Drosophila melanogaster: one gene and its partner. The protein of the gene in region 2 interacts with the protein of the main gene of each other region in a pairwise test. Each region holds a gene or a part of one and is shown on either strand. Other genes may lie near its edges.

What was found. The genes of interacting proteins can lie anywhere in the genome.
Region 1: the proteins of geminin (region 2) and PPYR1 interact in a two-hybrid assay, tested with the Drosophila melanogaster proteins (one large-scale study listed by BioGRID).

The regions. Positions count from the first base shown.
Region 1 is NC_004354.4:15,243,019-15,246,898, forward strand, and holds PPYR1 (protein phosphatase Y regulator 1), read right to left. Parts: upstream 1,896-3,880; 5' UTR 1,820-1,895; coding exon 890-1,819; 3' UTR 841-889; downstream 1-840.
Region 2 is NT_033778.4:6,652,777-6,660,604, reverse strand, and holds geminin (geminin), read left to right. Parts: upstream 1-4,010; 5' UTR 4,011-4,079; intron 4,080-4,150; 5' UTR 4,151-4,375; coding exon 4,376-4,954; 3' UTR 4,955-5,142; downstream 5,143-7,828. Other genes in the region: sced (scrambled), read right to left, coding at 625-3,093; Opbp (Optix-binding protein), read right to left, coding at 5,380-5,433, 5,495-6,041, 6,096-6,488, 6,545-7,232, 7,284-7,290.

The DNA.
Region 1 (3,880 bases), on a different chromosome or scaffold from region 2:
TTGCTGGCAATCAATTTTAACAAGCACCCAGTTTTCCGAGATCTGCTCGGCTTACTGGGCATCTTGCTCCTAATTGGTTGCCAGTTATAGAATACGTAAAACGTGCGACACAAATTCAAGTTCAATGGAATTCTACGGGAATTCTACCTTTCAGAGTGGAAATGAACTAAGGGAGAAGAAAATAGGAAACACAGAGATTTTCATTAGTGGAAAACCCACAGTGGAACTAAGAACCTTTCTAGAATTTCATTTAATTTGCAGTTCCGCAGATAGTTTTGGTTGCTCTTGCTCTCCCTTTCGCTCACTATTGCCGGCTCTTTCTGGGCCGTGTGAGTTGTGTAATTCGTGCAAGCGAGAGGGCGATAGAGTTTGTGATAGGGAGAGGGGGACAGAGAATAGGCCGCGCAAAAAAGTTGGCAGACTTATTTTTTCCCCCATTTTTGCACTCTAAAGTTCCTTATACTCCCACAGTTTTGTGCTTTTGTTTTTGTTTCGCTAGAATTTGTTCAATTTAATGTAACATGAAGGAGAAGGCACAAAAACCAGAAACAGGGCGGCGAACTTGGGGGTGGGCGTGAGAAACAGGCGGAAACACAACATGGAAAACTGAAAAGTTTGCGGTGACGCCGGAAAATTCCATCAAAACTGTGGGAAACAGCCTTAAAATGACTTTAAGGGTTTCCCAATTATTTGGAAGGCCCTGAAAAAATAAGGAAAATTGTTCAGATCACTAAAAGCTTGATAAACTAATATAAAATTTTTATTTGATTATGTTTTTATATGTATTTATGATTTATATATATCCTAAAGAACGTAGAAATTATTCAAAATACATGTATTATTTAATTTTGAACGATTTAATACTATGTAACACGCAAACGCAAGCAAATTAAATGAATTTTAAGCGATAAGGAATAACACCTTGATCAGTGTTGAAATTTAACAGAATATCAACAACGTACAACGGGCGGTCAGCGGTTAATTCTTCGCCATCGTCTTCCAGCTCTCCTGATCCTCCTAATCCTCCAGATCCCTCAGTTCCTCCAGATCCTCCAGATGCGTCAGGTACTCCAGATGCTGCGGCTGTTTCTGTTTCTCCAGATCCAGCAGACCTCTCCCCTGTTTCAGTATTTCCTGTTTGTTCAGTTCCTCCTGTTTTGTCCAATCCTTTGGTGTCGTCTGTGTCTCCTGATCCCTCGGCTCGTACAGTTTCTTCAGAACCCCCTGTTACTTCTTTCTTTGTACCGAAATCAGACATTATAAACTTATTCAAAACCTGCTTTTTCTGCGCCTGCATGGCACGCCACTCGTCGAGTGTATATTGTTCGGTCTCCTCCGATGAATCGTACTCGTAGACGAAACTCGATACCTTTGGTAACTTCATCCCTTCGAAGGTGCGCAAATTGGTCCTCTGACGCAAGTCGATCTCCTGCTGGATGGATCCCCAGTTGTGGGCCCCGGCTCCATTGCGTTTTTCCACCGCCTTTACGCCAGTGCGTTTCGATCCGGAACGGCGATCAAAGAGTCGGTCACCAGGACGATTGCGTCTGGTTTTGCAAAGTTTGTTTTTCGGTACTGTAACGAATACTGACTCTACTTCCTTCTCAAGAGGATCTGCCACCTTGATGTCCTTCACCCGTTCCTTTTTGGGTGCAGTCAATGGAGTGGTCAAAGTAATCTTGTTCTCCACCTTTGGCTGAAATAGACGTGCTGCCTTCTGTGGTTTCTGCGACATCTTGGGAACGGCCACCATTGATGACTTCTTCTGTGACTTCTTCATCTTGGGATCCTTGGTGAGGGCTACGAGTGGTACGTTCATACTGTCGTCGAAGGTGCAACGATTGTTAAAGCTCGAATTTAAGTAAAAATCAGATATATAATTTATTATATAATCGGAGCTCTGAAGGCGAGCGAGTTTGGAGCTGAACTGAATGAGAAACGGAATGAGCCTGGCAGCTGATCGACTGGGCAACTAAGTTTTCCCAAAAACGGTTTAAGATTGACTCAGCAAATATAAGCCAGAAGTTACAGTTGCTCAGTTTTTGTTTGATAAGTTTGATAAGATCATAATATATATTCATATAACTCAATTAATATATGCTTTGCATATGTTTAATGGAGGCTTTTGAAATGCATTATGTTATGTACTTCTTGTGCATTGGTACATAAATACTGAGTTGATATATATGGACATCATAATTTTTTCAAATTCCAATAAAAGGCTACTCAAGGAATTTCGTTATAAAATATTTGTATTTTTCATAACATTCAATTACGTGTCTCTAGTGTTCGCAACCCCTCATTTATTTCGAAAAGTTATATATATGATTGCCATGGAGTTGCTAGGATATTCATTTAAGCGTTCAGTTACCAGCGCAATTTTCCGGCATTATTATTTATAACTTTATACGCTCGCCGAGTGCTTCGTTCTACCCACTCCGTTCATTTCATTTGGCTTCCCGTTCCTGTGGCTCCCTTGTGTCTCTGTGGAGTGGCCAAAAGTCCAGTGGCCAAGAGTCCAGTGGTCGAGGGGTCGGTCCATGGTCTTGGCCATCAAGTTCTGTGTTTTGTCATAAGTCATGTGTCTGCTCGTCCTCGTTGTGTGTTGCTTCTGTTTTTCCAGCACAAAGTTGTGTACTTATGAAAATTAGTTTCTGCTCTGCTCTGCTACTATTTTTCATAATTAAAGTGCAAATAAAAAACTAAGCTGGCGAACAAACAATTGCAATTAACTCTTGTTGTTGCTGTGGCCCCCCTGTTGATGTAGTTATTCGCATTTATTTGCGAGATTCGTGTTTTTCTACCGCCCCATTTTTGCTCTCGTTTTTTTTTTTTATGTATATATTCGCCTCTGCCGCTGCTGTGCAAAAACATAATTCACTTTTTATTATCTCATATTTTATAGAAAGTTCCAGGAAAATATGGGTGGGTGTATATCAGCCATATATATATATATATATATATATGTGCATGCACATATACACGCATATACACTGGGGTGTATACATAATGCAGGGGCTGTAAGCCTCTCTGTGTGTCGTTTAATTCATTTAGTTTATGCTTTTAGCGCTTTATTTGCTTAACTGCAGTTTGCATGTGTGCTTAAGTGTGCGTGTGTGCGTATGTGTGCGTGAGCATAATTGCAGCACACACGCACATATACAGATGCACTGGATTTTGCAATTACTCCGCTTGACAAACAGCGGCAGCAACAAGAACAACAACAACAGCAAGGAGTCGCAGCAGAACAGTGAAATTAATCAAAATATGAACAATTCGAGCCGCTACCCTGAAAAACCGCTCGGAAAATACCCACTCCACTCGTGGCAGTGGAAAACCGCAGATGCTGCCATTGACAACGCATCGCTGCATTTCACATTTCACATTTTGCATTTCGCATTCCGGGGCATCCTTTCGCCTGTTTGCCAAATATCAGCAAATTTTGCGTTTAAGCCAAGTGCAAACATTTTAGCAAACGGCGAGCAAACAACAAAAGACGGCAGGCACAGCCGCCTTTCCATTCCATTCAATCGATTGCCCCTAATGAAAGCCACTCAACAGTCGCTCGAACAACAAAATCAGCAGCCAAAATCAACAGCACACGACATTTTCCAAGTATTTGGGCATTTAGTGTGCATTTTGTTTTAATTAAAAATTAAGCCGCAATGTGGAATTCGAGCGGCAGTTGCTTGTTGTTCGGTTTCGAAACTCCAAACATTTAGTTTGAATCAAAATAATAGAAGCCTCGCTTTGGCTTTTCATATGCCAATTTACAATCATATATTAATTTTAACAAATATTTTCAATAAAGTTAAATTGTTTTGGTTTCAATTCAAAATTAGTCCACAATGAGAAATTCGAGCGGAAGAAACTTGCTTTG
Region 2 (7,828 bases):
TTTTGTGGCATATTTTATTTGTAAGCTTATGGTTTAGTCACGGTACAGTTCAGCATTGGTTATGCTATCTTGAAGCATTTTATTGTAAGTTTAACTAATCTCTGATATGTTATGCGAAGCCGAAAAGCGTAGTTCAGGCTACGCCGCCAAAAAATATCTGATGCGGCGTAAGCCCATTTTGGTAGACGATTAATCATCTGTAGAATTGAAAATTGTTTAGCTAAATTTAGTTTTTCTTTAACAACAAGGCGCCTAAATGAGTCAACAATGTGGTTTTTGGTTTAATACGTATAAAAGCGTTTTTGTAAATTTTCATAATTGAGCATATTCTTAGACATTCATCGTTGGTTCACAACAGTAGTAATACTAGGGGACCCCCCAAGTGGATCCGGATATGGTTCGTTAAAATACATTTGACAAAGCAGGATGACCATACATATAAGGCTTAATACTAAGTGCATCGTGGGAAAGCGTATTATATACTCGGATAACATAATAATCAACTTGTCGAACTAATCAGATCACATTCACAAGAAACTACAACATAAATAGCGAAATGGTTAAAAAGCAGTTTGTGTCCACAGCGAAGTGTTAAACATGGTTACGGAAAACGGAGAATCCATTTTAGTGCTGCGGCGAAGGTGGATTTCTCTGGAGGACACTATTGAGTCTCATCTTCAGCGGCGAAAAGTCAATTTTCTTGAAGCGTGGTAGGGAGGCGAACTTTTTCATGGTGCCTCCCTCGGGCTGCAACTCATTGGACGTGGCCACAGACTGAATCATGGGTTCCAGACGCGCTGGTGCGGGCAACGCCTTGCTGGGCGAATGCCCGATTTTGGCCAGCGTCGCATACTTTTGCAAAAGACGACTAGCCTTTTCCGCCGCTTGAAAGCGATCCTCGTACTCCTTCTCCAGATTTGGCTGTACAAAGCATTCGTTCGCTACGGGAAGAGCAGATGCTTTCGCCTTGCAGGAATCCTCAGATGCTTGGCTATCATCAAACTTAAAGTCAATGTTCTTCAAAACGGTCAAGTGCAGCAGTTCGTCATCCACGCCTTCATTGTTATTGTTATTGTTGCTTTGGTGGGTATTGTTGCTATTGGTGCTGTTCGGACGCTTTACCGGATGGGTGACTGCATAAACACTGTCAGAAATTTTGTGGGCGGCAGTCTTTTTGGTTGAGCTTTTAGTCTTGGCTGATACTGATGCTGATGAGATGGTGGCCGCCTTGTGACGCTGCTCAATGATTTGCTGGGGCGAGGAAATGTAGAGGTTCTCCTTTCGTTCACGTCGCAACTTGGAACTGACTAAGTGCCTAAAACTAGGTCCATGTTCGGTGGGACTGCGTCGCTTTGACTTGAGTGTGTCGCAGCTGTTCGGATAATAGGAGGGTATCTTGTCGTCCACACTGATAATCGACTTTCTTGGTGTCTGGTAGTAGTTTTCCTCCTCTGGCTTCTGTTGCAAAGTTTTGTCCTTGGGCGTTCCCTTTTGCGGCAAGGCCGGCGCCAGGGGAGATTCGGTGGGTGTGCTTGTGCTCAGTCCAAAGCCGACAGGCTGCGCCTCCAGCTCCTGTGCGGCCTTCACAGCCAAAAGGTTCTCGTAGAGGTGTTCCGCAAATCCAGCTGCAGCCGCTCCGACGGTACTGTTCAGAGAGGTTCCATGCATGACTTCGTATATGTCACTCTCATTGGCGATCTGCGTCTTGGTGGGCTGGTCCTCCGTGTTACAGCTGCTGGTGGAGGAGCAGTAGGAGCCCGTGGAATATCCGGAGGATGTGGACACTGTACTGCCGCCTGGCTGTGGTGGCAAATCTTTTACCGTCGCCTTTAAAATGGGTGCCATTACACAGTATCCCGTAAGGTCTTCGTGCAGTATCTTATTTTTCTTTAGCTGATTACTCTGCGGAACAGCTCCATGCGATCCAATGAGATTGATGGTTGACGTGTTACAAGCGGAAAAGTTGAAGTTGTACGGAAGTTGCTCCGAAACATTCAGACTTTCCAAAGAGTCTGCTTTGCCCAATTGGCTAGATATTTGCGCAATAATCTCATTGCGAGAGATCGGCTCAATGACCGACTCATCCAGACTAATGTTTATCTCCATGCTCGACTCATGGTTCTGGGCCTCGAAGTATTCTCCAAAGGTGTCCAGCAGATTGAGTTTGGACAAGTCCGGACTTGAGAAGCTATTACGCTGAGACTTGTTCAACTGGGATGTGCGCTTTACCGGAAGCACAGGCTCCGGCGTGGGGGCATTCTCATACAGTGGCAGGACCTCATCGCTGGGTTCATTGGCCACCTCGCTGGTGCTGCCGGAACGCTTTTGACGTGAACTCCCGAACAGGTTGTCCAGCATGTTCTTGTATTTCTTCTTCTTGGCCAGCTCCGATTCGGGATTGGTGCTGGACCGCGCAATCTCGCCAAGCTGGGCGCACTCAAAAGTGTTTATTCGCTGACGGTAAGGATGTGCGGGCAGCGGTGGCGGTGAAGGAGTCTCCATGACTGACGGCTTCATCTCTTCGTAAATGCCGGATGCGATTGAGACGCGGGAGATGCGGCTGCCGTCAAAAATCTCCTCGTATATTTGCGAGACTCGCGGAGAGAGAGCGCTAGCGTCGAGGGTTTCCGGCAGGTTAGGCAGTGGGCCCAGACCTCCGGGACCCCTGCTCAGCCGGCGCTGTTCTAGAAAGACCTGGCGATAAAGTTCCAGATTCTTAATCGACTTCCGCATCCATTTCATGTGACGTCGGCAGGATGTCTCCGTTTCCAGGGCGAAATAGATGAAGCAGTCCCGCCGATTTTGCGTCCAAAACAGCCCGTACGAGTGCTGCTTCGTGCGCGAGGTAGCCAGGCTCAAGCTGACGCCCGGAACGTTTACGGAGACGCTAATGGGTTTAGCGGGGTGACACTCTTGGGAGTGAGACTCGGTCTCCATGGCCTGGAAACTGAGCCGCAGGAAGCAGGGCACACACTTAATGGCCTCTATTTTCACTTGGCAGCGGGTCCATGTCTTGTAACGCAGCGCCACTGGTCGCTTATCGTGTGTATCCAGCTTGGCGTCCATAGTCATGGAGATTTCGTTGTGGTCCATCTTGGGGCTACTGCTACGTGGTGGGGCGGATGGAGGTGCGGTGAATGAGTTGCGAGTGAAAAATAAAAAAGTAAACGATCTATATCCGCTACTTCGAGAATTACATCTTTTTTGCGACTGGGTGGAGCTCTTATCGGCTATTCTCTTATCGCACGTTTATCCTTCGTGTCCTCGTGACGTGACTGGCGTTGCCACCTGGCGGAATATCACAGAAATCGCGTTTCTAGAAGACCAACAAATGAATTTATAACTTCAATATACATCAATCAAACTTAAGGTGCTCAGCCTAAGCTACACAGCTCTTTTAAGTTCTTTATTTATACTTTTAAATGCTAAATGCTTACATGTTATTTGGACATCTTGAGTACTAGCTTAATAAGAAGGTAGTATCCAAGCAATTCTTATTTATAATCTCTTAACTAATTTACACAATCTTTTAAATTATTTTCAAGATCCATAACCAGGTCTAAAACCAAACAAATAAAAACTAAAATCCTATTTATACTTCGCTTTATAGCTATTTTAATATTTATTATTAAAAAACGCTAATGATGTTTTCAAAAATGTTAGGCATTTCCTTTTAGTATTTAAAATTCTACATCCGACATTGGGGTATATTTGACTTCTACTTGGCTGAGTATGAATTATGATTTGCAAAAGAAGTAAAAATTTAACTTTAAAATTAGGTATCTGTCTAACTGTTTTTGTCGTTTAAAACACAGGGTAGGTATGGTTTTCTTTCAATTTAAAAACATCGCTAGAAAACTGTTTCCAAAAAGTAAGCTGCATTTTTTGTTTTTAGTTTTGCTTTATACAGAAATTTTAATACTATACTTTTTTGATAAGCATCCACCAGCAAGAATACAGCAAGCTTTTATTTAATATTTTATTAACATAATTATTTAATATGAATGATTGGTAATATTTTGAAGTACTCTACTACATAGCAGTCGTAGGATTTGTTATTTTTCACATTATTTTTGTAGGTTTGTAATTATATTTTAAGGGATATCTTAATTTTACATTCCTAAAATAATTTGGTAACTTTTTGCGATAGTCGTGACACGAAATCGAGGGATGAAATTGCATGTGATGCAGCCCCTTGAGCAAACAGTGTTGGACAACAGCGCGCGGCATCGGCATTTTTTGGCGGCCATTACAACGAATGGAAAACTGTGAAGCGTTGCGCACAAATTAATGCATAAACAACAGACAAGCAAGTAGCACACGCTCTGCCGCCTGACAACCAAACCCACCGAAAGCACAATACACATCTCCGAAGATGTCTTCGAGCGCTGCCAGGGTCTACATCCAAGTCGAGACAGAGGCCGAGCAGAAGGAGCACCTGAAGCAGCAGAGACAGACCCTGAAACCCTTGCAGGGCAACGTAAACGATAAGGAGAACCTCACTGGTTCAGGGCGCGCCTCCATCGTGGATCAGCTGAGTCGTCTGAAGGCCGGCGTCCAAGTCGCGCCCAAGTACGGCAAGCGCAAATGCGTGGACACGGCGCCCGCGATTTCCACAAAGGATGCGGATACCCAGACTGATGCTGAGGCCGTTCCGCTTGGCAATGCTGACAAGCCCATCACGGCAGAGGATCTCACTAGCACAGCCGAACCCGGCGAGAACTACTACAAGCTGCTGGCCGAGCAGCGGCGACTGGCGCTGGAGGACTCGCTCACCGAAAACCGCCATCTGCACGAGCGCATCGAGGGGCTTGAGGAGGAGATGGACACTATGCGCCAGGAACTGGACGAGGCCAAGAATTTGGTGGAGGTCCTGAAGGAGATCTGCGAAGAGGACAACAGCGAGGTGGAGGAGGACGACACTACGGGTGACGAGGACAAGGTCAACGCCTAGGCTACACACCAATCACACGTTTTTTTTAGTCTAAGGTTTTACATTTAGTTGTAGTTAAATATCGCGTTTATATCCCTGTTCGTCGTCAGCCAACACAACGGCTGGTCTAATTGTACGCCAGCAATATATTTACTTGTTACACGCCAGTTATAATCCTAATAAAGTTTTACATTTGCACAATTGCACACAATATTTAATTCGTATTCCTGTATTTTATGTGCAACTTATATAAACCATTTCGCATCCATATGCTAGTTTAGATATGCTCTTTTCCTTTCATTAATTCTACATCAAAACAAATGTGTTTATTAGCTTACATCAATGCGGATGGATTTCAATGTGTGGGGAGCTAACGCAAAAATAAAATACTCAAGGTACAACATATTTTTGAGACAAATATTTATTGGATGTAAAACTGTGAACTGCTACTTAAGCCAATCTGTAATAACTTCCTCGCTGTGGAAGTTATCCACGTCAAACTGCAATAAAGGAAGAGAAAAAGGTAAGTTTGGGAAGAGATACAAAGAACTAGTAACTCACCACAACGCACTCTTCGTAGGTGGGTACGGTGCCCACGATGTCTACATCGTTTACCACAGCGTTTATGTAAGCGGCATCTGCCTCGGCTGCCGCTATCAACACCGCAGTCTCGGAATCATCGGTCTCAGCGACGTGTGCAGCATCAGTTGAGGTGGCGGGATTCTCCTGCTCCTCCACCAAACCGTGAGCCGACTTCATGTGCAGGCGCAGGGCGAAGAGACGTGCGTACTCAGCTCCACAAGTATTACAATAGAACTTCCCAGCTGCCTGGCTCTTCGAGGTGGCCGCACTCTTAATGTTCGGCGTACCAGAGCCGACACTTCCTTTGCTGCTGATCTCCTTATGGGTCTGCATGTGATTCTTGACGGCGTACATCGAAGAAAATGGGCGATTGCACACGGCACACCGGTAAGGCTTGGTGTGGGTGTTTTTGTGGGCGTACAGCTGCACGGAGGTCCGAAAAGTCTTGGGGCACGCATCGCATGAAAACTGTCGTTCGGAGCTGTGGATGCGCAGGTGGTGGGAGTACACTTGGTGCGATTTAAAGCTAAAATAATAAGTTATTTAAAACTGTAATTCTATGAAACTTGATTTTACCCACCGCTTGTTGCACACCGTGCACACATACGGCCGAATGTTGGTGTGGGTACGCAGATGAAGGGTCAGGGAATATGACACCCGAAATGTCTTGCCGCAGACCTCGCAGGCGTAAGGCTTTTCTCCGGTGTGGACCCGTTCGTGCTTGACTTTTTCAAAGGGGCGGGTGAACACCCTCTCGCAGTACTGGCAGGGAAACCCGGGTTTCTCCTTATCGAGACTAGTACGCTGGGCTAATTTACGGGAGGACTCGGAGTCGCGCGGTTTCTCATGGATTTTTTGGTGCATCTGATAGGTAACTTCGTTCTCAAACTTCCGGTTGCAAATGCTGCACATAATCTCACTAGATTCCTGTTGGTGCATCTGTTTGTGTACCGTCAGGAGGGTTTCATCGAAGCTGGTAAATAAGGAAATGATTCGTGGTATTTCTTTCTATTGCAGATATAAGCATACCTTTTGTTGCATATTTCGCAGTAGAACTGGTCCAGCTCGCTGTACTGCTGATGGGCGCCTATAGGAAGGGCGTCCTGAATGCTCTTGGGAGCTCGATTCTCATGAATGCGCATGTGGAATTTGAGAAACTTCTCCGAGCTAAAAACGGTGTTGCAGATTCCGCAGCTAATAACGGATGATGCGTCTCTCGGACCCGTCCTTGCACTGACACTGGCCAACTTTCGCCGGACGGGTGCTTTCGCATCGCCATCTTGTTGGCTGGACCCGCCGGATTCCGCCCGCGGACATATGTGCTCCTCAGCTTTATTTCGGTTCTCGAAAATGCTGTGGCAGTCGTAACAGAAGTAGCGATCGGAATTGCTAGGCTCGTTTTGGTCCTTCTCCGCCTTCACGTTGGCCGGAACTTCCTCCACCAGCTCCCAGAGGGGTACGTCTGCGTAGACAATGTCCTCTTCCCCGACCTCTTCCGAAATGCAATCTTCGGCGACCTCCTCGATGAAATCCAATTCCCCGCTAGCGCCGGTGCAGCAGCCGGCCTGCGGACCGTGGGCCCTGTCGTAAGACTCGGTGTCCTCGTATACATTGCCGCAGCTCTCGCAGTAGAGGAATTCCTGCTGCAAGGCGCCTCCGGATAAGTCTCCATCCTCCACGTGGAGGTTCGGGGTAGTCTCCTCGGCCTGGTTGGACGCTGCAAGTGCATGTTACTCGACGTTCATACCCACGGAATCAGTGCACTTACATGACATGGCATAATTTGCTCCAATCTTTATTTACAACAAATAATAATGGGCAGATCCACAGCAATAATAACAAATGGTTTTTGGAAATCGAAGCGTTGCCACAGGGCTGGGTAAGTATTTGCGTTTTAGCTGGGTGGCAAGGCTAACAATCAAAATTTAAAATGTTAATAACATTTATTTTAAAGACTAGAACATTGAACCAGTAATTACAAAATTATAAAAACTTTTGTCAGCAAAGTTAACTTTTATATTTTTTGTTTAACTGAGAGATTATGTTAGTCGATTCGTCTTTAATTTCTGGTAACAGATACACTGTTCAACAGTCAAAGATTGGGCACTATAACATTTTAAAGACGAATTGTCGTACTCAAAATATTGGCACCTCCACGGCGTTTCCAGTGTTGCTAAACACGGACATAAAGTAATGCAGTTCCGTGCATAACACCCAGACTTCGCGCCAAATTCGAAAAAAAAGTTTACAACACACGCTTTATTGCGCCTAGAATAGCCTTGTATGTACAAAAAGAGGAGAAAGGGAATAACA